6 separate regions of the Mus musculus genome follow, and all the other regions are reported to be linked to region 4. Evidence: microRNA targets listed by miRTarBase, many of them from high-throughput screens and not tested one by one. Region 4 holds a microRNA gene; each other region holds the end of a gene's coding sequence.

Evidence for each region. Region 4 holds the annotated microRNA mmu-miR-17-5p (CAAAGUGCUUACAGUGCAGGUAG, at 1,459-1,481, opposite strand). A microRNA usually pairs through its seed, bases 2 to 8, with sites in the 3' UTR of a target mRNA and lowers its output. Matches are read on the target gene's strand: a 7mer-m8 pairs with bases 2 to 8, a 7mer-A1 pairs with bases 2 to 7 and ends in A, and an 8mer does both.
Region 1: miRTarBase lists Prune2 as a target of mmu-miR-17-5p. Seed matches in the 3' UTR shown: 7mer-m8 at 1,721-1,727.
Region 2: the mRNA of Nfe2l2 is a reported target of mmu-miR-17-5p. Seed matches in the 3' UTR shown: 7mer-A1 at 605-611.
Region 3: the mRNA of Lrrc3 is a reported target of mmu-miR-17-5p. Seed matches in the 3' UTR shown: 7mer-m8 at 650-656 and 7mer-m8 at 3,531-3,537.
Region 5: miRTarBase lists Zfp652 as a target of mmu-miR-17-5p. The part of its 3' UTR that is shown has no 7-base or 8-base seed match.
Region 6: miRTarBase lists Cyth1 as a target of mmu-miR-17-5p. The part of its 3' UTR that is shown has no 7-base or 8-base seed match.

Annotation. Positions count from the first base shown.
Region 1 is chr19:17,220,024-17,225,095 of GRCm38, reverse strand. Prune2 (prune homolog 2) reads right to left here. Exons shown (of 20, transcript NM_181348.4): 20 at 1,164-4,312. The coding sequence ends at 4,282. Among named protein-coding and RNA genes, the nearest start is that of Gcnt1, 130 kb to the left of the region's middle.
Region 2 is chr2:75,671,412-75,676,483 of GRCm38, reverse strand. Nfe2l2 (nuclear factor, erythroid derived 2, like 2) reads left to right here. Exons shown (of 5, transcript NM_010902.4): 5 at 1-971. The coding sequence ends at 523. Among named protein-coding and RNA genes, the nearest start is that of Hnrnpa3, 15 kb to the right of the region's middle.
Region 3 is chr10:77,896,290-77,901,361 of GRCm38, reverse strand. It overlaps Lrrc3 (leucine rich repeat containing 3), which reads left to right. Exons shown (of 2, transcript NM_145152.4): 2 at 1-3,787. The coding sequence ends at 535. Among named protein-coding and RNA genes, the nearest start is that of Lrrc3, 3.7 kb to the left of the region's middle.
Region 4 is chr14:115,040,093-115,045,164 of GRCm38, reverse strand. Mir17 (microRNA 17) reads right to left here and starts at 1,494; the gene lies at 1,411-1,494. It overlaps Mir18 (microRNA 18), which reads right to left and starts at 1,314; the gene lies at 1,219-1,314. It overlaps Mir19a (microRNA 19a), which reads right to left and starts at 1,165; the gene lies at 1,084-1,165. Mir20a (microRNA 20a) reads right to left here and starts at 1,008; the gene lies at 902-1,008. It also overlaps Mir19b-1, Mir17hg and Mir92-1.
Region 5 is chr11:95,763,487-95,768,558 of GRCm38, reverse strand. Zfp652 (zinc finger protein 652) reads right to left here. Exons shown (of 5, transcript NM_201609.2): 5 at 3,844-5,020. The coding sequence ends at 4,500. Among named protein-coding and RNA genes, the nearest start is that of Gm38957, 11 kb to the left of the region's middle.
Region 6 is chr11:118,161,636-118,166,707 of GRCm38, reverse strand. It overlaps Cyth1 (cytohesin 1), which reads left to right. Exons shown (of 14, transcript NM_011180.4): 14 at 614-2,538. The coding sequence ends at 692. Among named protein-coding and RNA genes, the nearest start is that of Gm38514, 26 kb to the right of the region's middle.

The sequences.
Region 1 (5,072 bases), not on the chromosome of region 4:
CCCTGCTCACCAACCCACCCACTCCTGCTTCCTGGCCCTGGCATCCCCCCACACTGGGTAATACAGCCTTCATAGGACAAAGGGCCTCTCCTCCCACTGTTGTCCCACTAGGCCATCCTCTGCTGCATATGCAGCTGGATCCATGAGTCCCACCATGTGTGCTCTTTGGTTGGTGGTTTAGTCCCAGGGAGCTCTGGGGGTAATGGCTAGGTCATATTGTTGTTCCTCCTATGGGGTTGTAAACCCCTTCAGCTCCTTGGGTACTTTCTCTAGCTCCTTCATTGGGAACCCTATGCTCAGTTCAATGGATGGCTGTGAGCATCCACTTCTGTATTTGTCAGACACTGGCAGAGCCTCTCAGGAGACAGCTATATCCAGGCTCCTGTCAGCAAGCACTTGTTGGCATCAACAACAGTGTCTGGATTTGGTGATTGTAAATGGGATGGCTCCCCAGGTGAGTCTTATTTAGTTAAAAACAATTACAGTGATGGTTTCTAACTCTGTTTTTGCCTAAAGGCTATGAAAGTTCAACAAAGACTCCAGAAAACAAAAAGGGAAACAAAGACAGTTGAGGTTAAAATGACACCCTCCTGTGTGTATGTGTATGTGTGTGCGTGCACGCACGTGTGCATGTGTGCATGTGCATATGTGTATGTGTGTATGTTCCTGTGTGTATGTGCATGTATGCGTATGTATGTGCACGTGTGTGCATGTGTGAATGGGTGTGTATATGTGTGTGTATGTGCATATGTATGTATGTGTGTGCTCACACGCATGTGTGTGTTTTGCTGGGGATTAGACACAGAACCTTGCTCATTCCAAGTGCGTGTTTCACCACGGAACTCTACCCCCTCTTCCCCAGCCCTTAGTATGCTTTACTTTAAAAATAAATATGTCACGAATAGGCAAGTGACAGAAAAAGTCACAATCAAGTAACCACGAAATGAGGGGACAGTTCCAAAGAGTAAATGGTCCATTTTAAAAGTACAGTGCAAAAGCCTCCAAGACATGAAAGGTAGAATTAGACAGAAAACAATAGGGTTTCGATGGCCAGGCAAGTCAAATGCACACTGCTTTTGCCTGTGGCAAGTGGCCAGCATATCATGTTCCTGCTAAGGGAAGCCACAGAGAGTTTCACTGAGTTGAAAGAGGAAACCACAATGTGTGGAATCTATTTTTATTTCTGAATTACACAGTAAGGGTATAGCAATACATTGTGTTCTTAACATATTTTCATATTTTTAAACCATACTATCCAGATAGAATTTATTTCTTTACCAAAACTCGTCTAATATATACTTTATTCTGAGCAATCCGATACACGTAGAAAACTCTTTAGATATAGAAAAGGTTAAGTTTGTGCACACCTAGATATTCCTAAAGTAGCAGACCACTGGGGCATAGTGATAAGACAAGGGTTGTGCAGAACCATGAAGGGACTCTCAAAGTTACATCCTAAGGATGTGTGCTAGGGAGGGTGGCCTCTTTGCTCATCAGTATGCCCTAGGGAGGAACCTTATATAACACTGTATGGCTTCAATAGGAACTTTGGGGTCTTCCTCCACCCCCAGTTGTTCTCACTCTTCAACAACTACCTTCTGTGAAGGTTTTTGTTTCAGCCTTAGTCAAAATCCAGCTAAGTACTAGCTGGAACTCAGAGTGAACACCACTCCTGCCTCAATGACCCCTCGGTGTTCCCTTAACTACAAATCTACAGGAAAAAGTGCAAAGCAGGTCCTGGCAGTCCAGACCAAAGCAAGAATGCCCAGGGTGCAGGCGCTACAGCTGAGCGACGTGAGAGTTACATCTACCTGTTTATGGGCTATTTTCCCAGAATTCCCTAGAAGCCTATTCATTTGATGAGCATGATAGCTTTTCTCTAGCACATGCAATTAAAGTAACTTGTTTTTTGAAGATAGTAAGATAACATGTGCTTAAATATTGTAATGGTATTACAGCCCATAGGATTTTCCAAATATCATTGACGTGAAACTGCTCACATTAAATTTACTTTGCCATGCCACACGAGTGAGTCATTTTCCATACACAGACTCAGAGAAAGTGTGAATGGTGTGCCTGTTTGCCTGTTGCCATGTCTGGTTGGTTATGAAAAGAGTCCCATGTCTACAGATCTGCTGAGCCAAACTCTGCAGTTCTCACAACAACATAAGTTTAACATGGCTAGGGGAAATGTGAAATTCATCTTCCAGAATGGAATATAAAGGAGTTAATATGTTAAGCAGGTGAGCGAATCAGGATATTGGGTAACTATATTCCTATCACCATGATGTTTGAGGTGGGCTTCCAAAGGGCAGGGCAGGCTGTGGGAGCCTAGATGATTCTGAGGTTTTTCTATCGAATTAGCAAAAAAAAAAAAAAAAAAAAAAAAAAAAAAAAAAAAAGAGAGAGAGAGAGAAGGGAGATTGAAAAAAAGACAAAGGTAAAAAAAACTAAGTTGAACAGGATCAACAGGTGAAAGTAAATAATGGAGCTTTATGAAGGGAAGGGAACCGACCGGCTCACGTATATTGTGTGAGCTTGTACGGAAGACAGATTGGAAACAGACATGAAGCAGATAAAGTCAGAAGACCTCTGGCACCTGGGCTAAGAAGCCTCCCTGTTGAGGAGACTTCTTCAGGGCTCAGAGTGTCTGCAGCTCTCCTACAAAGCCACCAGGCAGGGCCTGTCTTGCCAGCTGCTTGGTAACGGATGACTTTGAAGAGTGAGTGAGTCTAAAGAGTTTTCGGACATTTTCAGTTTGAGTCTAGCAATCCCATGCTTTAAGAGAGCCACACTTTTGTGAGAAAGACCCATCGCTTTTCTCAGTAGGCCACAGGTGATGTTTCACTGTCTGTAAATGTCGAAATTTTCTTTACAAGTCCAGATATGATGGTGCAAGCCTATAATAATACCTGCACTTGGGAGGCTAAGGCAGGCGGATTGCCACAACTTTGAGGCTGACTTGGTCTACATAGTGAGTTCTAGGCCAATTTGGGCTACATGGTGAGATCCTGCCTTGAAAGAAAATAAAAATGTTTTTGACAAAACCAAATGAGATTACAACCACCTCTGTGTACTCAGTTGGGGAAAGCATTTAAATAAATACTCAGAGCAGGGAGACCAGGGAGGGAATGGATATTTGGTCTCGTAGGGGTCAGCACACTTTGTTTTTTCTCCTGTAAAGATAGTGTTCTGGCTTTGTGAAGAACTGTCTGTTGTCACTGTTCAGTTCTGGTGGAGAATGAGTAAAAGAAGCTTCAGACAGTTAAGTGGTAATTTTTGTTTTCAACTGTAAGTGTGGAAGCCACCTTCTCTTGCTTTGGAGCCTTAGCCTCCTCGGTACAGCTTGCCAACCTCTGCTGGAGATCCACAGACTGGAAATTGCCGTAACAATTTAGGGGCATATAAAAAACAAGAAATGAGCTATTTCATAAAGGCTAGTATATACTTGTATTTAATTTTAAACTTCCTCAAGCAGATTGCTTTTGCAATGCATCTGAGTGTTAATTTTGGACGATTCGATGTTACCCAGTGATTTCTCAGTGGGCCACCTTGGAGTTGGACGAAGTGTAAAGGTTGGAGCCTGTTCTGTGGCCTGAAGCATAGCTCGTCTTAAGTTTCACAAGATGCAGTTCTTCAAAGCTCACTAGAAGATGATGTTGTAAAAGAGCAATTTACATGCAGAAATATAAAGTAAAGCTTGCATGGGTTAGAAAGCCCGGGTCCTTTTGAAAAACTGAAAGATGTGGACAGGAAGGGGGCAGATGCCTTAGCTGATGAGGATTTTATATCTGTCTGTCTGTCCTATTCAAGTTCAGCATTTCATAGAGTTCCAGAAAGCCATGTTCCTGGGACAAGGCAAGCCCTGTGCATCCTGAATCTAGAAGGAAGCTCTGTAGGGATTCAGTCAGTCTACAGAAACATATCCACATCTGTCTAACAGCAGAACTAGGCTATGCTTTTGGTAAAAACCAGTCTAAGGAACCAAGTCCCACTGCACCGAAGATTAGCATAATAGTAAAAATGGAAGGTCCATAAAACTAAACGGAAGGTTTAGTTGCTAAGGTTCAACTAAAATCATTGAGGCACGTAATTGGCAAAATAGGAAAAGACACAACATTTCATAGGATATGTTAACAGTAAACAAATTCTCTTTTCCTTGAAAGTTTCCAATGGCACCAGGTGGTGCAAAGTGGAGATGTCACCATCCCTGTTGCTTCCAGGTAGGTACGTCCCAGCAAAATCACCAAGCAGAAAGGGAGTCCTCCTCCAGCAGGCCAGCTACGGCTTCTCCTTCAGCTTCATGTCAATGCTGGGTTGAGGGGATTGGGGTGGGGAGAGAAAACACACCAATGAGGAAGAGTCAATTCAGGTGTCACTTGTTTGTATCTTTCTTCAAATAATTTGAAGAAATTGCCTAAGCTTTTTAAGCTGGAAAACAATCAGACAGTTGTTAAGGTTTTCTAGAAAATATTGACTATGGAGGCTGAAGGGATGGCCCCACGGTTAAGATCACTGGCTGCTCTTCCAGAGGACCTGGCTTTGATTCCCAGAACCCACATGGAAATCTACAACTGTCTATTTATTTATTTTTGAAAATGTATTTATTTATTTATTTTATGTATATGAGTAAACCGTAGCTCTCTTCAGACACACCAGAAGAGGGCATCGGATGCCCATTACAGATGGTTGTGAGCCACCATGTGGTTGCTGGGAGTTGAACTCAGGACCTCTGGAAGAGCAGTCAGTGCTCTTAACCACTGAGCCATTTCTCCAGCCCTTGACAACGACTTATCACTTGGGAAATTTGATACTGTCTGCTAGCCTCTGTAGGCATCAGGCATGCACACAGTGCACAGACATACATGCAAGCAAAAGACCCACATGCATATCAACAAATAGGGAAATAGATATATATTTTAAAAATAAACATATTGGTGCTGTTTCGTTTTTACAAAATTGCTTCTGAAAGCATTTTATACCTTTTCAAAAGGACCCAGGGATGAACAGCTCATGTTAAGTCTCAAAGTGAAATCAGATAAAGAATGTTACTGTGTCTTCCTATCTTGAGT
Region 2 (5,072 bases), not on the chromosome of region 4:
GAGTCCTGGTCATCAAAAAGCCCCATTCACAAAAGACAAACATTCAAGCCGCTTAGAGGCTCATCTCACACGAGATGAGCTTAGGGCAAAAGCTCTCCATATTCCATTCCCTGTCGAAAAAATCATTAACCTCCCTGTTGATGACTTCAATGAAATGATGTCCAAGGAGCAATTCAATGAAGCTCAGCTCGCATTGATCCGAGATATACGCAGGAGAGGTAAGAATAAAGTCGCCGCCCAGAACTGTAGGAAAAGGAAGCTGGAGAACATTGTCGAGCTGGAGCAAGACTTGGGCCACTTAAAAGACGAGAGAGAAAAACTACTCAGAGAAAAGGGAGAAAACGACAGAAACCTCCATCTACTGAAAAGGCGGCTCAGCACCTTGTATCTTGAAGTCTTCAGCATGTTACGTGATGAGGATGGAAAGCCTTACTCTCCCAGTGAATACTCTCTGCAGCAAACCAGAGATGGCAATGTGTTCCTTGTTCCCAAAAGCAAGAAGCCAGATACAAAGAAAAACTAGGTTCGGGAGGATGGAGCCTTTTCTGAGCTAGTGTTTGTTTTGTACTGCTAAAACTTCCTACTGTGATGTGAAATGCAGAAACACTTTATAAGTAACTATGCAGAATTATAGCCAAAGCTAGTATAGCAATAATATGAAACTTTACAAAGCATTAAAGTCTCAATGTTGAATCAGTTTCATTTTAACTCTCAAGTTAATTTCTTAGGCACCATTTGGGAGAGTTTCTGTTTAAGTGTAAATACTACAGAACTTATTTATACTGTTCTCACTTGTTACAGTCATAGACTTATATGACATCTGGCTAAAAGCAAACTATTGAAAACTAACCAGACCACTATACTTTTTTATATACTGTATGAACAGGAAATGACATTTTTATATTAAATTGTTTAGCTCATAAAAATTAAAAGGAGCTAGCACTAATAAAAGAATATCATGACTTAAACTACTTTGGACTTTTTGAATTTATTCACACTATTTTCCATAGGACAATCACTCATTTACCACATTTGGTTATTTTACATTTTCAAAATGGGTTTGAAAATACAGAGGCATTTTATAGCCATGTGTGGCAGTCCATGATTTTTATTCCCGACATTCAGGAGGCAGAAGCAGGCAGATCCCTGGGCTCCAGGACGGCCAAGGCTACATGAGAGCTTGTCTCAAGAAAGACAAACCCTTTCTATACTAAACGTTAGCTAGGATTGTCAAGGAGATGGTATATATCCACAATGGTATGCCTGCTGTACAGTACTGTGGCACAGAGAACAAAACCTGTAACCTCCCTGTGTTCTTAGAAGTGGCATTCTAAGAGGGCTAGGAAGCATACTAAGGAAGGGGGGGGGGGATTGAGAAAACCAGTTTTTAAAAAAAGCTGGTCGTAATGGCTTACATCTTCAATTGCTGAGCTCTGTAGACAAGGCTACCTTTGAACTCTGGTGCAGAGTCTGGCAAATCTGTGAGTTGCCCAGCCTGGTCTACATAGAGAGTTCCAGGACAATCAGAGCTATGTAGAAAGAGACCCTGGGTCAACAAGTCCAAATAAACACTAGTGAAAATCATCACAACGTATAGGAGCTTGCAACATCTGAAGGTATAGGTTGATATGCTAATCAGCTCCACAGAGCACAGCTGAGCAGGCTGCACAGAGGCTGGAAGTGATGGGAAGAAGAGCGTTATGAAAAGCACAGGCATGGGCAGTCTTAAAAAGGGGGGATCTGAGGTTGAAGTGGGCTATGAGACTGGTCCTCTGGTCAGTGAACCTGAACCCGAGCAGCCCAGGTGAGGGGTGGGACGAGAGAGACCAGTTGTTCCATATATACATCTCATACATCTCTTTCCAACCCCCTCTTGGTTTTCAAGGCAGGGTTTCTCTCTGCAGCCCTGGCTGTCCTAGAAGTCACCCAGAAGACTGGCTTTGAACTCTGAGATCTGCCTGCCCTCATCTCCGGAGAGCCGGGATTAAAAGCGTGTGCCACCATTTTGTAATGGTGGAAAAACTAGCTCACTTAATGTGGATAGGTTGAGACTGATTAGACATGTAGAGGGAATAAAAACAAAGGCCCTAAAATTGGACAATGAACATTTCTTTTTTTGGGGGGGGTGGGGTGGGGTGGGGGAGGTTCGAGACAAGGTTTCTCTGTATAGCCCTGGCTGTCCTGGAACCCACTTTGTAGACCAGAAATCTGCCTGCTCTGCCTCACGAGTGCTGGGATTAAAGGCGTGCACCACCACGCCCGGCTTGAACATTTCTTTAAAACAAAAATCCTTACTGCCATTGTAAAAGTTGGGTGCTGGGTATGGCGCTACACTCTGGAGGAAGTATTATCTATCTACATTCAAACCCAGCCTCTGCAGTCCCAAGGCTACGTAATGGGATTTGAGGAAAGGGGTCCTGAGATGCACTTAAGAATTGTGTATGTCAATAAGCATAGACTTGCATATTTTCCCTCTCAAGTCCTATCGATACACTAGGACCAACCTTGTACTTACTAGGCCTGGCACTAGACTGAACCTGTTGCCAGTCATTTGTTAGAGAATGAATGGCCTCCAGCCACTCATTGAGCTCTCAGCCTTATCTCATCCATAAGATGGAAACACCCAGAAGTGGATACATTGTTCATCATCTTCAAAACTTATTTTTGGTGACATGAAAAACTAGTAAGAGAATATGATGTATGACTGAAGGGTTGAGTCAAAATTGGACCTAGGATTCATGAGAGGCTTGGTCCTCTGGGGGCATGGTAATGATGGAAGATTCTAGGAGACACTGTTCCAAATGAAACTGACAGGAACCTTGGGTGCAGCCCCATCTGGAGCACGCAAGAACAGACTGTATCCATCTACATTATCACAGTCCAACTTGACAAGATTCTGCTACTCCTAAAACGGAACTCACCATAGAACCTTACAGACCTGAACTTATGTTGAGTAGTAATGGTTCATTGGCTAAGAGCTGACTGCTCTTCTAGAGGACCTGGGTTCAAATCCCAGCACCTGCATGGCAACTCACAACCATCTGTCCCAACTGTTCCAGGGGGACACAACACCCTCCCCTGGCCTCTATGGGCACCAGTTACACAGAAAGACATGCAACCAAAACATCCATACATACCACACAAGTCTTTTAAGAAAATAAAAAATGGGGCTGGTGAGATGGCTCAGTGGGTAAGAGCACCCGACTGCTCTTCCGAAGGTCCAGAGCTCAAATCCCAGCAACCACATGGTGGCTCACAACCATCTGTAACAAGATCTGACGCCCTCTTCTGGAGTGTCTGAAGACAGCTACAGTGTACTTACATATAATAAATAAATAAATCTTAAAAAAAAAAAAAAAGAAAAAAGAAAAGAAAAAATGTAAAACAAATCCTAGCTTACCTAACCATTAAGAACAAAATTCCCTTTGTTCTGCATTTGAAATACAAACTCTAGCCCGTTTTAGCCTTACTTGAACTATTTTTAATTCAATTCTATAAGCTAAAATGCACACCTTTGAGGATATGTCCAACATTGTTTCCTAAATCTTTTTAACTTTGAATTATGTATATGACTGTATATCTGAGTGTGACCAGAGAGGGTGTTTGGGATTCTCTGGCACATGGCTGTGAACCATCTAATCTGAGTCCCAGAACTGAGCTCTAGTTCTCTGCAAAAAGACTTGCTCTTAACCAAGCCATCTCTCCATGCCCTCCATGCCCCGCCCCTTAGATTATATGTGTATGAAGGCTTTGCCTGCATGTATGTCCTCTGAAACCAGTTATGGATGGTCGTAAACTACATGTGGGACTGACTGGGAATCTGCAAAAGCAACAAACGTTCTTAATCACTGTGCCATCTCTCCAGCCCTTTATATTAAAAAGCAAAAAACAAAAAACCCTCTAGTTTTTGAGGGAATGGGAAGATGCTATTTAAATGTACTGCCACACCCTTAATTGATATGATTATGAAGCTGTGTAACAGTATATAGCTTAATCCTAGCACTCAGCAGCCAGGGCTACACTGTGATATCGTCTCTATTTTTTTTTTTTTTGGCACGGGGTGGGGGTGGGGAAATCATTCTTTCCATTTTAAAAGACAGCAGTTTAGCCAGGCAGTGGTGGCACACACCTGTAATCCCTGCAATTGGGAGGCAGTCAGGTGGATTTCTAAGTTCGAGGCCAGCCTGGTCTACGAATGAGTTCCAGGACAGCCAGGGCTATACAGAGAAACCTTGTCTCGGACCCCCCACCCCCTCCAAAAAAAAAAAAAAAGGACAGCAGTTTCAATTGATAGAAGTATACTTCAAAGAAAAAAAGGGGAAAAAAAAAATCAAGATCCTGACTTAGCTAATCACTCATTAGATTTTAAGTATGCTTTCGGGATATGTTAAAACACTACCAAAAGCACTCTTTAATAGGCACCCTTTTTAGCCAATCTTCACACTTAACCTCAGGCAATAATCTCCATCTTTGCTTAGTGTTTTTTTTTTTTTTTTTTTTTTTTTTTTTTGATTTTTCGAGACAGGGTTTCTCTGTATAGCCCTGCTGTCCTGGAACTCACTTTGTAGACCAGGCTGGCCTCGAACTCAGAAATTCGCCTGCCTCTGCCTCCCCTAGTGCTGGCATTAAAGGCGTGTGCCACCAAGCCTGGCTGGTCTTATTTTTCTTTCTTTTTTTTTAAGATTTATTTATTTATTATATGTAAGTACACTGTAGCTGTCTTCAAACACTCCAGAAGAGGGAGTCAGATCTTGTTACGGATGGTTGTGAGCCACCATGTGGTTGCTGGGATTTGAACTCTGGACCTTCGGAAGAGCAGTAGGGTGCTCTTACCCACTGAGCCATCTCACCAGCCCTGGTCTTATTTTTCTTAATTGAAGTCAGACTTGGGTGGTCTCTGAACCATTTTTTTTTATGTATATGACTATACACTGTAGCTGTACAGTTAGTTATGAACTTTCATCTGGTTGTTGGGAATTGACTTGAGGACTTCTTTGCTCCAGTAGACCCTGCTCGCTCTGGCCCTAAGATTTATTATTGTAAGTACACTGTAGCTGTCTTTAGATGCACCA
Region 3 (5,072 bases), not on the chromosome of region 4:
CAATGGAGCCTTCCAACACCTGCCTCAGCTGAGGGAGCTGGACCTGTCCCATAATGCCATTGAGGCCATTGGGCCAGCAGCCTTCTCAGGTCTGGCTGGGGGCCTGCGGCTGCTGGACTTATCCCACAATCGCATCCGAAGAATTCCAAAGGACGCCCTGGGCAAGTTGAGTGCCAAGATCCGCCTGTCCCACAATCCACTGCACTGTGAGTGTGCCCTGCAGGAGGCCCTGTGGGAACTAAAGCTGGACCCGGACTCCGTGGATGAAATTGCCTGCCACACCTCAGCGCAGGAGCAGTTTGTGGGCAAGCCGCTGATCCAGGTCCTGGACTCAGGTGCCAGCTTCTGCAGTACCCACCGGAAGACCACCGATGTCGCCATGCTGGTCACCATGTTCGGCTGGTTTACCATGGTGATTGCCTACGTAGTGTACTACGTACGCCACAACCAGGAGGATGCCAGACGACACCTGGAGTACCTGAAGTCCCTGCCTAGTGCTCCAGTCTCCAAGGAGCCTCTTAGCCCTGTGCCCTAGCACCCACCTCCGGTGGGCCACTGAGCCTGGCTACCCTGTCTTTCTGCAGCAGGTGGAGGTGATGGTGCTCTTGTGTCCCCAGGGAGGTGCATTGCAGCTGTTCAGCCCAAAAAAGCACTTTCATAGTTGGTATTTGGTCCCTGCAGCCACTGCCTAACACTGTAGCGGGGGGAGGGGGGTTTGCCCATCTTAATGGGTAGGTAAATGGAGGTCGAGAGAAACGGAACTCCTTGCCAAGGCTGGCTTCAGCTGCCACTTAAACCCAGGCTGTTTGTGGTATAGGTCTGTGAGCCGTCTGATCTGCCAACCTCCCTTTCCCACACCATGCTGTGGGAAGTAAATACTTGTGCACGCAAGGATGGGGGCCCTGGCAGGGAGGATGGCGCCAGCAGTTTTGCCACCGGGGAATGGCTCATTTCTGTTTACCCCTGCTCTCCCAGTACATCTGAACACAGAGATGTTTGCCCTTTCCCAGAGCAAAGTACCGGCAATCTAGACCTTTCCAGAGAGGTCAGTGCAAAGTCCAGCCTGCACTGGTCTGCTCTGACCTTTGTCCTGGGAGTTCTTTAGTTGCCCTTGTGCCAAAATGTCAGTCCATCGAGAGGGAGAAAATGGAGAAACGTGAGAAAGGTCCAGCATGGGCTCACCATGGCCGTGTCAGCTGCTAGACCACTTATGGGCTGCCTCAGCTTCTGCCACTTCTATCCATTCCTGGGCAGTGGAAACCTGTCAACCTCGGTGGCTCTTGTGCCTTGCTTTCTACTGCCAATATCTAAAGCAGCTGTTTTTTCAGAAAGAGGAGGGACTGAAGTTTGAGGTTGCCATGCCAGTCAACAGGAACTGCTTTTCTCTAGCAACAAGAACCTTCTCTTCACCTCGCTGAAATCCCAGAGCTCACTGATCAACTTTCTTACCTGTAATTACTTCATCTTCAGGGGTAGATGTTCTAGCCACCTAACTAGACTTGACTTCCAGTTTTGTTATTTACTGTCCTTTTGTATAAGTGTTTATACCCTAAGCTATGTCGTCATCGAGTATCTGGGAGAAGTAAATGAGCATAGTGTGTGTGTCTGTGTGTGTGTGTGTGTGTGTGTGTGTGTGTGTGTGTGCTGAGTATAGGGTCTAGATGCCGCTCTGAGCAGAAATTGAATGTGGCTTCTGTGTGTGCTGGGAATTTTCTTGTGATCTGCAGGGGCAAGGTGAGACTATGTTGGGGGCCTGGCCTGACTTGGTCCTTACCGTCAGTGTGACCCACAGTTCTGTCACCATGTGACACACTTGCCTGAGGCTACATGGCTGTCAGCTGCAAAAGTATATGGAAGAGAAAAACACTCATGAATTCCAGACTTTCCCCACTGCTGAATGCCCACACCTACATGGTGACCGTGGGGCCACCATGCCTGGCATCTGCAGGGTGAACAGAGCCCTGGATGAGCTCCCAAGCTGTCCACTATTCTTCCACAGCCCTGGGCCAAGCTACACTGTCTTCAGGGTCAGACCCTGGCGGAGCTAGTAGGACCATTCCCATTCCCATGAGAATTGGAACCTCGAAGCAGCCTCCTTAGGGACACCAGTCAACGTTGTGATGCTGCCTGGCCCCCATTGGCACAGACATGCTCAATACCCAGTACCCAGTTAAGTGTTCAGAGGAGGCAGGTGCTGAGGGCTGTATGATTTGGACCCTGGAGGGTGCTGTGCCAAGGAAAAGAGGTTAAAAAGCCAGAGCTGAGCCAGGCAGTGGTGGCGCACGCCTTTAATCCCAGCACTTGAGAGGCAGAGGCAGGCAGATTTCTGAGTTCAAGGCCAGCCTGGTCTACAGAGTGAGTTCCAGAACAGCCAGGGCTACACAGAGAAACCCTGTCTCGAAAAAACCAAACCAAACCAAACAAACAAACAAAAAAAAGCCAGAGCTGAGGGCTTGGATTAAGGACCAGGTACCACCCTGGTGCTGTGGCAGTGCTGAAGTAGCTATCTATGTATGTCCCATGGACAGGGACACCTCTAGCCTGACACATACTCTGGGAGGTGCCAGTGCAGAGGGTATGGCTTGCATTCCTATTACCATGTGGTGGGGACGGTAGCTGCTTCCAGGCAGGGGCACAAGTTGGGAGGTAGCTGGCCCCTGCGGCCTTTCTACCATCCTACTCAGTAGAGGGACCCTGTTTCTGGAGCTTGCCACTATCCAGCATGTCTGTCCCATCGACAAAACCAGGTCAAAAAAGAACATGGGTGGAGGCCTGGTGGTGAAGTCTGTAGCTGCTCTTGTCCCAGAAACACCCTATTGGGTCTTTTAGATACACCGGTGTAGGTAGGGCTCCGTCCCAGGCTGCTCAACCCACTGCCAGGCTTGCTGCTCTTAACCTAGGGCTTAGCCCTACCTGGTTGCACATCTATACAGCTCCTGCTCAGCCCTTGCTGGAAAGAGGAGATGGGAGACTCAGGAGAGTATGGACCCTGGAGAGAGCATGCCCTGTCCTCCTATAAGGAGGACCTCAGAGACCTCAGCACTCTCCTGCTCATCCAAGCTTCCAACCCTGCTGCCTCAGAGTCTTATCTCCCTGTCGTCCCATTCCATGTCATTCATTCATGTATATAGATACCCTTCCCTTCCTTCCCATGACCAACTCACAGGCTAAGTGTATGAGGCTGGAGCCTCTGCTGGAGACTTGCAGATGTGGATGGTTGCATTGAAACTGTCTTTCTCCCTGGATCCCACCTGCTTCCACCAGCTTCACCTTCCTTCTCTCCTTGAATGAGATATTCTCCTCCCCCAACTCTGCACAGACCCTCTAGATCTCCAGGACTCTGGGTCAGTCCTCCCCTACTCTGCGCATCTCCACCCCCACCCCACCCCGACTTGAGTGTTCCTCAGGCACAGTGGGCGGGGTTTTTTTTTGTTGTTTTTATTTTTGCCACATGGCTCAGTGTCCTGCCCCATCCTCACCCCCATCAGTATAAACCTATCATCCCAGGTCCCACCCACTGGCTCCTTTGGGCACTTTCCCTCCCACTAGTTACATGTGATTGCCTAAGACACGGTTTAAATTGAAATCCTTGGGTGGGGTTAGAGGTTGAGGGGTGGTAAGTCACAGACTGAGATGGAATGTTCTGAGCCTGTGGCAGCTCTCAGGACTAGGACTAGGCTCCTAGGATGGCTTCTATGTTGCCTTTCTTGGAAGCTCAGCCCCGAACCTGATTCTGTCCTCTCCCAGCCTCTCTGTGAGCCCTCAATAAAACTTTTTGTGCAGGAAAGCTGATTGGGATTCTGTCATCTTCAATTCTAGCCGACACCCATCCCTCACGACCGTGTCAACATCTGTCTGCAGGTCCTCACAGCTGGGAGGGCATCTTCAACTAGCTAGACAACTGATTGTCATAGTTAGATCATAATGGCCGTCATTAAGTTTTCAGGAATTCTGGGAGCCAGCTTGTACCATGGTGCCTTGAATCTGACCACGTAGAGGCTCGACGCCAAGGAAATTGGTAAACATCACATGTCAGAATCCCACCCTCATAATCCTTGGAAGCAGTTATTATTTGACAGCACTCTGTGTGAGAACAGTTCAGCGTGGCCTCCAGGCTGAGCCAGCAGCACCCGGATAGCCACAGTGCGGGTGGCTCCCACAAAGCCATGATCCTTAGGCCACACTGTCATGCCAAAGATAACTTTTCTGAATCTTCAGGATTTGATTTCTCAAGGGCCATGGCCCTTGGGATTCACCATCTATGGATGCTTATTGTCTCCTGACAGCTTTGTATCCCTGCTCTGAGGTCACGGCTGCCCGCCTGTCTGCCTCACCAACTTTTCCAACTGCTGTTTCCAGATGCCCTATCTGGAGACTTTGTGTCCCCACAGATGGTCTGGTACCCACCTACCAGCCTGGGTTATCCCTTCCTACTTTCTATCCTGCCTTGTTCTCTGGGTTCTGGGCTGGACAATGGATGCAATCTCTTTCCCTCTGTAGAATGCTTTTCTGCCATGGAGCACTCTCACACCCAAGTCAGTTTTCAGTTAATGTGGCTGGAAGACCCAAAGAGTGTTCACATCACCCGTCAGCCTGTCTCCCTTCCCTGCAAACTGGCTTGTCCCTTCTAGGAAACCTTCAGTGTAGCCAGAGTGGAGTCCAGGAGCTTCCACAATCTGCAAGTGCACACACACACACACACACGTATACACACATACATAAATACATGCATATGCATTTCCACTACATGTAAGCCAGACAGACACAGAGATATTGTTACACTCATGTGAGTGTACACAGGCTCACATGCAGATTTAGAGGCATGCACTACATTTCTGCACACATGCACCTGTCATTGCATCCATCCCTCACTCCTGGCCCACTGTGTCTGTGGTCTTTGGAGGGAGTGTTAATCTGCACCTCGCCCCTCCCCCCAGGCCTCTAGAGGCAGTTGCCTGCTTAAGGGTCTCTTCTGTAGCAGCATCTATTTGACTTTTCCAGAATCCAGAGGTGGCGGCTGCTTTCCTGGGATTCTGAGGAATTTTGTAGCTCTCTGGACTTGCAATGGACCC
Region 4 (5,072 bases):
GAAACCAACTGTGCTGCCCAAATGTAGAACTATATATTATATATACTGTTATCCTAAATACTAACTGCAGCTTCTCCAGACCCAGCACTCGAGTGTCATGTGTACCTGTCACTCTACTGACCATCAGTTTGCCATCTTTCCCTTGAGGGGGTCACATGGTAAGAACAGTCCAAGGATAGTTCTTTCTTACAGGGTGTGCACATTAACAGAGTGGCCACCACCTGTTAACTGTTAAGAACTCACGGATTAGGAATAATCTTATCAGAAAACACTCCATCTGAATTGTCACACTTTAATAAACAGAGATCCAAAGAAAGTAACATTTTTCTTAACTCATGTTAATGGGTTTTAGAGTAAAATAAACCTGAAGTCATACCAGGTTCAAAAGGCAGTTTAACTTCACCTAAGCCCCCACACACAACTTCTTACTAAATCCAGCGAGCAAACACGAAAATGAAATGATTCAGTAAAAACAAACCACAATTTAAAAACACAAATTTCAATTAAAAAAATCCCGTTTTACACACCAACGAAAGCAATAGAAATCACAGTTTACAGAATGTGTTCATACACTCCATCAGCTCGTGAACATTTTTACAGTGGAAATCGGCATCTTCAGCAATATTGTCATTTTCACATCTTCTGGTCACAATCCCCACCAAACTCAACAGGCCGGGACAAGTGCAATACCATACAGAGAAACACAGCATTGCGACAAATCCCAACCTGTGTAGAAAGGGGTTTGATTTTCCCTTACTTCTCTACAGACTTTTCACCACCACAGTCAGTTTTGCATGGATTTGCACAGCAGAATATTATACAGCTGGATGCAAACCTGCAAAACTAACCATAGACCAGTGCTCAATAACAGGACAGTTGGCTGGGCGATGGCCAGGCGAGGCTGGAGTTCTACAGCTGGCAGTACTTTAAGTGCTCGTAATGCAGTAGATGGCTACACACTACCTGCACTATAAGCACTTTAGTGCTACAGAAGCTGTCACATCACACACACCACGCAGGCTCTACATCGACACAATAAAAATACAAAATTAGTTTAAAAAAAAACAACACTTGAAGTAAATAGCAGGCCACCATCAGTTTTGCATAGATTTGCACAACTACATTCTTCTTGTAGTGCAACTATGCAAAACTAACAGAGGGCTGCAAACACAACTATGGAGAGACCCCTACATGCTTGCTTGACTTGGATTGGATGAGGACATAACTTCTTATGCCAGAAGGAGCACTTAGGGCAGTAGATGCTAGTCTACTTCACTATCTGCACTAGATGCACCTTAGAACAAAAAGCACGCAGCACCAGCAGGCCCTCCCCGCGACCGACTGACCGACGACTGGACGCAGCCAGTGCCGCCCGAGGCAGCGCCCACTGTGGCTCCCACCGAGGCAGCTGTCAGCATAATGCTACAAGTGCCCTCACTGCAGTAGATGCACACATCACTACCTGCACTGTAAGCACTTTGACATTATTCTGACTGGTCACAGCTTCAGTCCCAAGGTGAGGTTCACTTTATTCCTGCTAAATTTGAAATAAATAATTAGACAAAAAGGAAAAAGCCAAAGCTCTAAATTCTGTCACAAACATCAATTACAGCTTATACCCAAGGGGGGGAGGGGAGGAGCCAATAGCCAGAAGTTCCAAATTGGACACATGTAAGCCTTAAAAAAAAAAAAAAAACTCCTTAAAGAAATATAAGATACAATCCCATTAAAATGTTGGCTTTTACAGTAGGCTTCCCCAAAAAACACACAATAAGGGTCCTACAAAATGAGACCTGTTATCAGGAAGGCAGTCTGACTTGGTACTACCTTTAGAGGAAAGCCTCACATTGACCAGGCAGCAATCCCTTTCTTCTGTCCTCCACATTGTCAGATACTCGACAAGATTAATGATTATTGTTTAGTCATTTTCAAGTTTATTAGTCATAAAACATAAAAAAGTCTTAGTATCACCCCAAATTAGAAATACTCTATGACTCCAACTTGAAGGGTCTACAACTATTTGGTTAGTGTCCAAAAGCCACTGTAGATTTACTACGTTAAAATGTGGCTCACTCATTTATGACAAGAGTTCAAACTGTATTTATTTCATACCTTAAAAGACCAAGAATGTTGTACAAGCTCAAAGACAAAAGTGAAAACCAAAGGTCTCAAAAGAAGTTTTAGCTACAAAACTAGAATATACTCACCCACTCAGGCAAACTTCCTTCTCAGCAAGTATCCTTGGGCAATGCTTCGGGTGCTGCTAGGTCCACGTGTATGACTAGGGTTGGGGGTGGGGTGAAGACAGAGAAAGGGTAAGCACATTTGCTCAAAATTACTACCACTTTCCGAGCCCCATTCCAAGTTGCTCTTCTCTTAATCTTCCTAAGGGGCAATTCTATCCATTTGCCAAAAAAAAAAAAAAAAAAAAAAAAAAAGAGAGAGCCAGGACCACAAGGTCCTGAGGGCAACAATGTATTGGGTGGAAAACGCTGTAACAAAATAAAGTTGAAAACCCACCAAGATTCACATCCGTGCACGAATTAATGTGCCCCTGAAATACTGCAAGATGAGTAGCAGCAAGCCTGAACTCTACTGTCCAGCTCAAGCTAGAGAAAAAGGGCAACCAGGACTAGTCTTCACCACCCCTCCCCCAATCAGGACCTCGTGGCTGCACGCCGGGATAAAGAGTTGTTTCCCCAACTGCTGTGATCCTCGTGGCACGTTGCTCATTTTCTTCCCTCTGGTCACCTAAGAACCACGAGCCCTGCTGCGCTCTCCAGTTTTCTCCCCTCCGCGCCAGCTTATCAAGAGAAAACCGGACGGGAACACGGGATCCTGCCAAGTACCCGCCACGCTCATGGAGCCCGGGCCGGCAGCACATGTCGCACAAGGGGGCAGGCGGCCCTTGTGGGTTCCCCGCGCGGCCGCCAGGGGGCGGCAGGTCAGAGCCGGGCCGCGCTGCGCCGGACGCGGAGACTCCCCCCCCCCCCCAACCCCCGCCCGTTTCTGGGCGGCTGCGCGGCGAGCGGCGGCGCGGAGGCCCGAGCGTGGCGAGGCTCCGGACACGCCGGCCGTCCTTTGTGTCCCGCGCGCCCCCCGGCCAGGCTCCGGGGGAGGGAGGGGGGCGGACAGGGCGCTCGCCGCACGCGGCCCGAGGCCTAAGCCGGGAACAATCGGCGGCGGCGCGCAGTCGCCGCCATGTCCCCCCCCCCCCCGCCCTCGGCGCGCGCAGCCCGCCCCGCAGGAACATGGCGGCGGGGCCGCCGCTCCTGCCGAACCCGCCCGGCCCTCCCGCGCCGCGCTCGCAGCCAGCGCCCGTCCGGGGCTCCGCGCCGCCCCGAGGGCGGGCCGGGGCGTCCCGGGCCGCCCGGGCGGACCGCAGGGGTCGCCTCGCCCGCGAGGGGAGCTGCCCACGCGGCCGCACACAAAGCCCACGCGGAGCGCGGGGTGGCGCCCCGGCCCCGTCGCCCCGCAGCTCCCGCGTCCCGGAGCCCGGCCCGGCGCGCACAAAGTTTCGGGGACGCCGAGTGCCGCCCGCCCACGCCGCCCGCGCGCAGGTTCCTCGTGGGCGCGCCCCCTCCCGGCCCGCGGCCTGCCCCATGTGCCGCCGCCGCTTTGTTCTGGAGGCGCTTTAACTCTCGCCCCCGGGAGAAACTTTCCCCGCACGGCGGCCGCGCGCCCCGCCCGGCTCCCGCCGCTCCCGGGACGGCCGCCGGCCTCGTGCGAAGCCTCCCGAGGGCCATTGTGTGCGCCGGGCGGGCCTCTCCGGGGCCCGGGCCGCCGCCCCCTCGGGCCCCCTCCGGCCCGCGTGCGCGCCAGGACGGCCGCCCCACGCCGGCGCCCAACGGCCCGAGACCCACCCGGCCCGCGGCCCCCGCCCTCCCGCCCGTCCCGCCGCCGCCGCCGCTCCGCTTAGCGCACAACAGGTTTCCCTGAGCCGGCGGCGGGGCGGGCGCACTCACCGCAGCAGCCGCCACCATCTTCGCCAGCCTCCGCGCCACTCCGGCCCGAGGCCCCAGGCCGGGGGTGCGGCGTGGCCCGCCCGGCCCGGTCCGAGCTCGGGGCTCCGTGGAGAGGCACGGGCGGCGTGGGGGACCGTCCCCACCCCTCGGCCTCGCCGCAGGGCGCGAAGTGGCGCGAAGGCGCGGGCCGGGGCGGCGGCGGCGGCACCTCGAAGGACCATGTGGGTGAATGAAGGGCGGCGGCTCCCGCCTCAACGTAAATACGGACAAGCCCCACTCCCTCATTAGCATAAAAAACAAAGTACTTCCGACCTCCCCGCCCGCCCGCCAATCACCGCAGGCCCCGCCCACGGCGGCTCGTTCTTGGCGGCCAGGCGAGCGGGAGCCGGGGGAGCCGCTGGTGGCGCCGCGCCGCCTTCCCCGGGCCGCGCGTCCCCCGGGGTCCGCCCACTGCCGCCCGCTGCCCTCGGCGCAGGGCTCCGGGCCGGGACACCTCGCGCCACGCCCCCGGCACGCCCTCCCGAGCCAGCCCCGCGCGTGCGGACCCCGCGCCGCGCACCCTCCTGCGAGCGCACGCGGCTCAGGCTTCCCGCCAGCCGCGCTGGCCGGGGACTCGACGGAGGCGCCCGGTGACCACAGCTCGCCCACTCTCCCGTAGCCGCCGATCGGGAGGCCCACGCGAGTGGGAGACGAGTCACATCCACTCGCCCACCGTCGCCCCCCCCGATCTCCGTAGATCACGGATCCTTTGGGGGTCCAGCTCCTCCCGGGAAAGTCTCCTTAAACCTGGCCGCGTGCGACGGGGCGCGTGCTGGGCTCGGAGCTTCGCGACCAGTACCTGAGCCGCCTCCCTCGCCTAGTGCAGCACCGAGAAGTCTGGGCTCTCTGGTAGAGAGAGAGCACAGGGCTCGGAAAGTGCCTTGTAAACAACCCCAGAGCTGAGATAAGCCCACTCCCTGCTACATGCTGTGGTTCAGGAAATTCCAGAATTCTCAGAAACCTTATTAAAAGAATTGAGAATTCATAACATCTACTACAAGCAGCAATTTCAAACTGGTTTCGAGCAATCCAGTTCGTAGTCTTTGCAAAGCACATGCCACTTCTGTC
Region 5 (5,072 bases), not on the chromosome of region 4:
TATAAGTCTATAAACAGGCCTAGCGGGTACAAAAGTATTCAGCTGTGAAGGTGAACGGACACACTGGCGACTTTTATGGCTTCCACAGAGAGTGCAGTGGGGACCTCTGGGCTGCTTTAGCGAGGTAGTTCCGGGTTGGAAGGTCAGCATTGCTTCCCAAGACTGTAGGTTAGCTAGTGAGCTGTTATTGCATAACAATGCCACTGTTTCTAATGGCTTATGACCCTTTATTCCTGAAAAAGAAAAAAAAAAAATGGAGAGAGCGAGAACTCCTGGGAATTTTCTACCTTGGTTTTAAGTAGAGAAAAACCTTAAACCTGGTGACTCTTTGCTCAGGGTTAGAAGTTTAAGAATCCCAGCTGATTTTTTTTTAGTTGATAAAATGGTTAGCTCTAACATACTCTCTCTTCTCATGGCATGCTACACATGCGGAACAGCATCAAAATCTCTAGCATGTGGACCATCAAAGTAACAAAAGTGGTATTTTTCATACAGTAGCTTAAACAAAGGGGGCGCCTTTGACTTAAACAGAGGGGTTCTTTTAATGGAAGTTTTAGTTTTTCTCTCTTTAAATACAAAAAGCTCACCTACTCTAGTGTGTTTTCCTAACCAAACCTCCAAGAGGGACTAGATCCATATAGATGTGTGCATTCATGAGTATGTGCACATGTGTACACACACACACACACACACACACACACACGCCTCCGCAGTGGAGTTCTTTCTCTGCTTCATAGTCTCAAAATTTAAATCTTCTAGGGAAATAAAAATGAAACTAAACACACATCCACATCCACTCAACAATCATAAAACTGAAAAAGATTTTCAAGAAGTTAAAAATTCCAAACTTCAAAGATTTTTGCCTCTGGTTAGACGGGGTGAGGTTGTGGGGTGGGCTGTATGGGGTGGGGGCTAGCTCAGAAGGATACTGTCAACAGATGAGGTTCTCAGACTGGACAACTCTGGAAAGGCCCGTGGTGAGGCCTAAGGCTGAGGGTTACTAAGACAGTACCTGGCAATGATTTACAAAGGTTTCTTTAAACTTTATTAAAGTTTTATGTGGAGACTTCTCCATTTGCTAAAAATAAGAATCAAGTCAAAATAATATACAAATAAAATAAAATGAAGCCACGTGCCTTTAAATCTTCTTTTCCTTCAGTTTTAAAACCTAACCCAGTCTGAGCCTGACTCAGTTTGAGAGCAGCAGCCTAATGAATTAGCCTAATGAATTAGGCTAAAAAAGTTTGTATCCAAATGATAAATCCATGAGAAGAAAGCAAGTGATGCATGACTCAACCCAAAACAACGTAATACCAACACAGAAACATCGCTGTGGAAGCCAGGCGGGGGGAGCAGGTACAACGAGCCCAGCATTTGGGAAGCTGAGGTGAGGGAGTCATGGGTTTGAGGTAACCATGACCGTATCCACTGGGGAGTTCAGCTTAGCGTAGGTATTTAGTGAGAGACCCTTTCTCAAAAAAAGCAAAACAAGAACCCCAACAACAACAAAACTCTTGGGGGAGGGGCCGGTTGTGGTTCCCTCCTGTAGACCCAGCACTCAGGCTGTGAATTCAAGGCTAGCCTGGTCTACTTGTAACTAAGTAATCCTTGCCACAACAAAGCCTTTGAAGATAGAATGGTGTAAAGAGAAAGCCTTGACTTAAAATCTGTTATTCTGAAATGTAACGTGTTACGAGACAACAGTAAAGATACAAGCCTAGAACTCCAACTCTTCCACGGGTCTTTTTCCATGGACAGGTAACAAGAATGTAACAGGTACTGTAGAACTCCTGGGGCGCTGCAGCACATGTGGGCCAGCACAGCACACACTGCAGCTCTTCCCCAAGTACACTGTCAACCCTGAGTCTGAGTCTTCAGCACGTGACAGCTGAGGTACCTGCATGTTTAAGGCGTGACCCTGTGGTTTCTGACTCCGAAGCATTTCTGTATAGATCTCATTATACATATGCCCATTAGTCGTACACTTTTGAGAGCCATTTTTTAGAGCAGGCTTCTCAAGTCAGGGAAGATAAACTTCTCTAGAAAAAAAAAATATATTGCCATTTCTACACTGTTTCACATTTGAGTAAGAATGACAGAGTGTGGTAGGCCTAAGTCACTATTTTAAATTCTTTTTTCTGCTTCTGTTAAGGATAGTGATGCTTACTGACTCGCTATTGGGTTTCCTATGTAGAGGACAGTTTCTTATGGCTATAGTCATTTGAATAAAGTCAGAACTGACAACCTGAATTTTTCAATGAATATTCATAGTATAACCATCAAATGGTTGTAATTCAACAGCCTCAAGACTAGAATTCAGAATGTCTGCCTCATATTGTAAAAGCATTTAGTATAAAATAAGGTATAACCAATTATTAACTTAGCTACAAATTATACCTTTTTTGATAAAAATACTTGAATATTATAGGTTTAGCCGTGAGATATGGATCTGTCTACATGGAAGGTGGATTTGCAGACTTCCCATAAGCTGCAGAGGAGACTGTGGAGGTAAATGGGGTAGGGGTGACTTCTAAGTCACGACATTCAGAAAAGGAACCTGCTTCCTTGTTTGCCTCGGGTTTGTGAGGGCTGCAAGAATGCATGCAAATATTACAAATACCATTCATTAAAATTCATAGCTAGAAGCTGGAGGGAAAGTGTGTCCTGAGAGACTTTCCTGACTCCACACACAATGTTTCCTATGTTTACAGAAGACAAGGGCAAAACTGGAGAAAAATCTAGAAATAGTAAACCAAAAAAACTAATTTAGAGTATGATACTTTAAAAGCAGGAACCTAACCTCAGTCCAGAGTCCGTGTGTCCCCACTGCAGAGTTAAGTAGCCAGGAAAAAGTGCACAACGCATAACTGCACATTTAATATCAAAGATAAATAAATAACAGCTAAGGGTCTGATTTAAGAGCCTGAGGATAGAGAGACGAGGAGGAGAGAGGTGGGAGGCAGAGGCCATTCTTGGAACTCAGCCTCTGAGAAGAGCAGCACAGAATGCGTAGGAGCTGTGCCGTGCACACCTGTCAGCTGACTGAAACCACCATGTTAGCCCTTCTCTCTGGCCTTCCGTATATCCACTCCAGGGTGACCACGCTCTGTTTAAGTTCCCCAAATGTTGACCGAGTAAGCTGCCGCTCGAGAGACAAGGGCACTGTTCCTTCCTCACCTAAGATGCTGCGGTCTCCCTCCTCTGGAGAGGGCAGGCAACAGTATTGGGGGTTTCCTCTCACTACATTTTTAATGGCAGATACCAGTCAGTGTGGACATCCACGTTTTAGAGACTGCAGGCATCTTAAAACTTAAAAGTCAACTTGCCTTCCCATCCACATTTCTTGGTCACTACCAGCAATTACGTTTGTGATTTCAGTTCACCCTATTAGCTTCTTCTAACACTCTTGGAAAACACAGGAGCCTCAAAGTAAGAGATTCCAATCCATCTTCCCCTAACAGCTGCGCACAACACAGTTTCTAAGAAAGTGAGAAACAGACGTGATCCAAGGAAACGACCTCCGTCACTTTCTCCCGAGGGCATTCACAAATGTCATTCACATTTGCAAGCCCCGCTAACTCTGAGTGACCCCATTCCCTCACACCACCCCACTGAATCCATAGAGTACTCAAAGGGACACCAACACTGGCTGTGTCAGTGAGCCCAATGGACTGAATGCCCAGCAGAGACATCCAATTCATTGACTAACTTTGTACTGAACCTTGCTTTTGTACCTGGTCTGGTGACCCGCTCAGATACATCCAGTCACAGAAGCACCTTTGAGTTGTATGGATGTAAGAATAGTTGAGATAGAAGTTATTATATGCATCTTTGAGAATCACATTTTGATGATTATAAAAATTTATCTATTTTACAACATGGGTTTAGCTACACTGAAAAAATTACACAGCTTATTGAAATACATCTCATTTTAGAAACAGACTACTAAAGTCTATACAAAAACTCTAAAATAATTTCTGTAGTAAAATAAAGAGTGTGTTAAAAGAGCTACACAAAGAAGAAAATTCCCATCTTCTCTATAATGCTTGATATTGTGTGAAACGCAGCCAGCTCGACTCTGCAGCCAGCACCAAAAGCTGAACCGAATTCATTGCAGTACACAGTGATATAGTTAATGCTCTGGACTAACCTCACAGCCTTCCCGATCAGTATAAAGGAAACAGGCCCACCCCTCTCTGAGGAGAAGACCGAGATATAAAAGCAAGCATACCTCATCCGCTGATATGAAATTATAAAATCCCACAGTCACAGTATCTGAAATTTATAAAAGTCATCAGAAAATGCAAGCAAATTGGGCTTTAGTTCGGTGGTTCCCCTGGTTTCAAGGGCAGTCGTCGTCTTCACTCCGTCAGGCCAGTCTGAGGGCTCACCAGGACAACGGTGAAGGCCCTGAAGGAGGCCGTGGAGTCAGGCAGACCCCAGAGAAGTACGGCTGCGTCCCTTCTGCCAGCTCACCGTGGGGACGGCACTGGCTAGGGCTAATGGTGCTGGGCGGGGGCCGCACTGTTCTTCTCTGCCAGGTGTCTCAGAAAGGTGTCCTCGCTCTGGCTTCTGTGGTTTAGGGGTTCACTCTTGAAGAGGGCTGGGGGTGGGGGCAGGTGAGGCACAGGAGGGATGGGGAGGTGGTGCGCGTGGTGTGGATGCGTGTGTATGTGCAGGTGTGAGAAAGGGTGCGGGACGGGTCTCGAGGGAAGCACAGCACCCACGGGGCTCATACTGACTGCAGGGGCTGGGCTGGTGGGAGTGTTGGCCACGGCCGGAGCGGGAGCAGCTGGAGCTGAGGCCAGTGGGATCTGGACAGCTGGCGGCACATTCACTGGGCTGGTCACTCGGAAGCACTTCTCCTTGTGGGCCTTCAGCATGTTGGAAAAGCGGAACCGCTGACCGCACACATCGCAGGGGTAGGGCTTCTCGCCTGTGTGAGTTCTGCGGTGCCTCTTCATGTTGGGTCGGCTGGTGAAGCTTTTGCCGCAGATTTCACAGATGAAAGGCTTCTCTCCTGAGATTAGCACAGACAGACAGGGTCGGTGCCCCGGTGTAAAGACAGGCAC
Region 6 (5,072 bases), not on the chromosome of region 4:
ACTACAGCTCAGACAGCACCCCCTGCCCCTCCCCCACACACAGACACACACATAAAGAAAGAGTGGGGAGGAGAAAGAGAGAAAGAAGAGAAGACTTGAAAGTATGTGCTGTGGAGGCTCCAGGTCACAGTGGCCCACCAGAAATAACCAAACCCAAGTCCTGCTTCCCTAGAAGACCAAGCGGCAGCTCTGTGACCCTACCCACAGCCACTGTCTAGTGCAGGCAAGTGCACCCTCCCTCACCAGGCTGGAGAGGCAGCAGGGCCCCAGCAGCAGCCGTAGGCTCCCAGAAGTCCCTGTGCAGTCCACGGCAGCCTCTTGAACACCATGTGTGGAATGACTTGTGGCATGTGTTACAGTACAGCACTCAGGGCTGCGGAAGACAGTCACAGCTGAGGAACACACAGTGGTTCTACTCTCAAGTGTTAAGTCGTGTTAGTGGGAAGAAGGCAGAAACCCCAGTTACTTTGTTACATGTCCCCATGTGTCACCTGAAGCTGTCCTGTAGACAGAGTGAGGGTGGGTGTTCCTGGTGAAAGCTGGCAGCACAGACTCCTGGGGTGGCACCGGCTGACCTGCCCTCATGCCTGCTCTCTCCTTCTCTGTGCTCCAGGGCTGCCATCAGCAGAGACCCTTTCTACGAGATGCTTGCAGCACGGAAAAAGAAGGTCTCCTCCACAAAGAGACACTGAGGGGGCACCAGGGCATGGCCAGCCCATGAGGCTGTGGCCCTTTCTCCTGCCTCCCCTGAGGGCGCTGTGGAGCCAAGCAGAGGAGAGCAGAGGGCTTCTCTGCCAGTTCCTGCCGTTCCGCTCCTAGAGACTTGCTTCAGCTTTTGCAGTTTTCTAAGTGGGAGAAGGGTGGGCGGCGAGGGATAGGCTGGAGACTGCGGCTGCCCTCATGGCTCTGGAGTCGCTCTCAGAGCCAGCAGCTGCCAGCAGCTGGTTCACAGCCTCAGCTCAGCAGGGCTGAGGCACCACAGGGAGCTCGCTCTTTACCTCTCAGTGTTCCTGGCCAAGGGCCTTCGCCTCTGCTCCGAGAATGCCTGTAAGGATGTACTCTGTGTACTAAGGAGAGAGGGGGAAAGGAAGAGAAGCCACGCACTATAAAGATTTATTTTTGTTTTTTTTAAAGCAAAAGTGAACGTAGCACTGTACTCTGCCCTCCTGTGCCCTGCTTCCCCTAAAAAGGGGGGCCCTGGGGCTGCGGGCACCCCAGGGGCTGCGGGCACTCCAGGGGCCGCTGCCTCATGACTGTGTGGGCAAGACGGGCAGAAGCAGGACTGCTGGCAGGGCCTAGCAGACACAGGAGGCCTCAGGGCCCCAGCAGGGCAGCAGGCAGGCAGTATGGGCAGCTCCCACCCAGTGCCTGGGGGACAGAGTGAAGGTGGTTAATCCCTTGCTGGCCCTCAGTGCCCAGGCCCACTGCTCTTTAAAGTGGAAAGTCTGCATTTTCCTAATAACCAAAACTGTGAGGAGCTCACCCATGGTGCTGGGTGGCGACTGTTTCATAGCTGGTTTTTCTTTCTCCTCCCCAAGAGCTCCACTCCTCGTTCTAGAGGAAGGAGCAGGTCTTACCTGATCCCCTTGGGGCTTCAGCCTTTTCTGCCTCAAAAGCCGCCCCTATTCTGGACTATTCTGGTGCACTCTGTGGTAGCCTCCAGGAGCAGGGGCCTTTCTCAGCAGGTTGCAGTGCAGTCAGGCAAGGGTAAGGTGGCCTTTTTGTCCCCTGCCCTCTATGGCATGGCATACCACAGCACACATGTGAGTGAACCCTGGCCTCCTAACTCAGTGAGAAGGGAGCCATGAAACGCAGCATCTCCTGCCGTTCTCTCAGGGACTCTCAAGGGCAGCTCCTGTTCCTTGGCCAGGGCTAGCATGCCAGTCTAGGCAGAGCAGGTGGCAGGCGGTGTCTTGGCACACTCCTCCACGTGGCCAAGGCCTTGGTGGCAGAATGCTGCCTCCAGGCAGGTGGAGGAGCCATGGGTCCCCGCTGGGCTGTGTGAGCTCAGCCTCTCTGATCTCAGAAGGAGGTCAACATCTCTGGAAATAGCTTTGCAGAGAAGGGTGGGTGTAGGGGGCGGCACTCGCCCCTCCTGGGGATACAGCAGGATCCGGCCTCAAGAGGCTTCAGGTGCTTGACACTCGAGTGTGAAGGTGACAGTGACTGCTAAGGGTCCAGGCTGGAAACCTGAGCCTCCTGCCGCAGAACCAGTCAATGCCTGCCCAGGTTGTGTGGGGAGTCAGGCAAGTGCAGAGCCCTCCCTTCACACCGGTTCTCACAGGTGTGTCCTGGGCAGGCCAGCACCTGGCTCAGTGTCAGTCTATTTATCAGAGGTGTAAATAATCCACACATAGTTTTTCTCCTTTTAGATTATTTTGTATTTGTTTAAAAAATATTTGTCAAAATACAAAGAAATGACTGAAACTTGTTGACAGGGTTTTTAAAAATATTATTATTATTATTATTGTTTTGTTTTTGCCTTGTAAACTAGCTCCAAGGAACTGCAGCAAATAAACTCCAAATCTGCCCACATCACTTCATGTTCTGCTCTGCTGTGGGGTCATCTCTTGTCAAGCCTGGGACTGGGGGCTGGAGCATCCCGTGGCATGGGTGTGCCCCAAACTCAGTGGGGCTGTGATTAAAACCAGGGGTTGGGTAGGGGCTATTTTCTGCCACGGATGGCATAACAAGGAAAGAGGGGCTTAACCCTTACCTCTCTTTCTGAGGAAGAAACTCAGCCTCAAGGAGCAAAAATTGTCCACGCGAGCAGCCTCCTGCAGTGTGGCACTACATATCCTTGTGAGGCAACTGAGCAGGACCAGGAAACGGAAGGTTGCTGGGCACACAGTTAATGGAGCAGAAGTTGGCCTCTGTGCTTTTCTTGCTTCCTTCTTTTTTCATTGACTGATTTTTGGAGACAGTATCTCACGTCTCTCAAGCTGGCCTTAAGCTCCTTGTGCAGCTGAAGATGGCCCTGAACATTTGGTCTGCCTCTGCCTCCCTCGAGTGCTGGGATTACAGGTATGTACCATGCCCAGTTTATGCAGTGTGCTAGGGCTTGCCCCCAAGGTTTCCTGCATGCGAGATAAGCACTCTACCAGCTGAGCTTCACCCAGGCCTGAGAATCAGCTGTTCTTAGTACATCATTGATGAACAACATAGAACAGGAGGTCAAGGAGACAACTTAGGGGCTGGGGGGTGGGTGGTTCAGTGGTTACAATCACTGGGTACTCTGAAAGTTTCAAAGGACCCGGTTTAGGTTGCCAATATCCACATGGTGGCTTACAACCACCAGTAACCCCAGTTCCAGATGTCCCAACAGCTTCTTCTGGCCTTTAGGGTCACTGTACAGACACGTGCACAGGCACACATGTAGACTAAATAACACACACACACACAAATAAAACTTTAAAAAAAGAAAACAATTCTATTTATTGCCAGAAAGAATAGAGTACTTACGTGTTTTCAAAGTGCAAGAGATACATATACTTATAAAACATTGAAAAGCACCATAGAAGACCTAAACAAAAATCTCATGTTTGGAGAGCAAAATTTAATAGTGAGATGATCCAGCGAGGAGTAGTGGTGTATACCTTTAATCCCAGTGCTAGGGAGGCAGAGGCAGGCTGATGTCTCTGAGTTCCAGGACAGCCAGGGCTACACAGGGAGACCTTGTCAAGGAAGGAGGAAGGATGTCCACAACTTGAACTTAGGAAGTTTGCTCCCTACCACATGGCAGTTAATGTTTAGAAGTATGAGATGCTGCTGTGAATTCAGCTCTTATCCCTCTAAGACTCAGGCTGAAACAGGGTCACCTGCTGCTGGTTGTAGAGGCAGGCTCAGTGAACAGTGTTTAATGTCCCAACGTTGGGTGAGAAGTAGGCTTTGCCCTGCCTGCCTTTTCTCTAGTGTTTCCTAACCTGGCTCTGAGGTTTGCTTATAAAGCATTCCTGGGGAGCTCATGGAGGTACTGGGGCTTGGAAGGCTATTTTGAAAGGTTCTAGAGTCTTTGAGAGGTGAGTCCTTGAGGAAGTAGGCCACAGAGGACCTAGTTCCTGAGACTGTCTTGTCCTCTCTCTGCCTCCTGTGTGCCATGAGGTGAGCGGCCTCCTCCACATGGTCCTGCTGCCGTGATGCTCCGCCTCACCGTATCAGGATCATCAGATCCAGGAACCGCGGATGAAACCTCTGAGGCTCTGAGCCAATGAGCAGCACTGAGGCTCTGAGCCAGTGAGCAGCATCCCTTTAGGTCCCAGGCATTCAGCTCACATCCGGGGAGAGCTCACAGAGACAGACCACTGAGCTGTGACTTCCATCAGAGCTGACAGCGTGAAGATCAAAGGTGGTGTGCACTCAGCGTCAGAACCCGTGTCCTGCCAGACAGGATGCAGGCATGGGCAGGATCAGCCCCAGCAGAGACACTGTTCTTGTCTCCTTTAATCCAGGCCTCTGCATCTTGTTCCTTGACATTTCACGACATTTACTTACCTCCCCGTGGCTTAAATTTTTGTGCATATTTGATCAAACCGAATCCGCCGATGTGTTCCACTTGGCTCTTGCTGTTTACATGGCTGTATCTCGTTCATAAGCATGAAGTCAGGATGACATACAGAACCCCTGAGCCCTGGGTTCTTGCCTTCTGCTGCTCACATTTAACCCTCTCTGCTCCGTTAGGTGGACTCAAGCCCTGTTCTGAGCCTTGGTCCTTGGCCTGAGCCGAGTCACAGCATCTTGTGCTGCAGTTGGTCAAACATGCTCTGTCCCAGAGCTCTTACCTTCTTAGAGTGGTTGCATTAGGGTTGCTCTTGCCACTCCTAACCCACTTCTTCATTCACTCATGCATTCATTCAACAAACACTGCCTGGGGCCTACTATGTCCATGAACTGAATCTGAAAGCTTGTTTACTGCTGTTCCACCTGAGGCTCCCCTGTAGCAGAAATAGAGCAACCTCAGGATAGCACTGCCACTGGGCTGGGGGCAGGGCGGGGACCACAAGACTGTAGAGTTTAGGGCAGCTGTGACAGGCAAGTATGCTCCCCTCTTCCTGAGTATTTATTACATTGAGCAC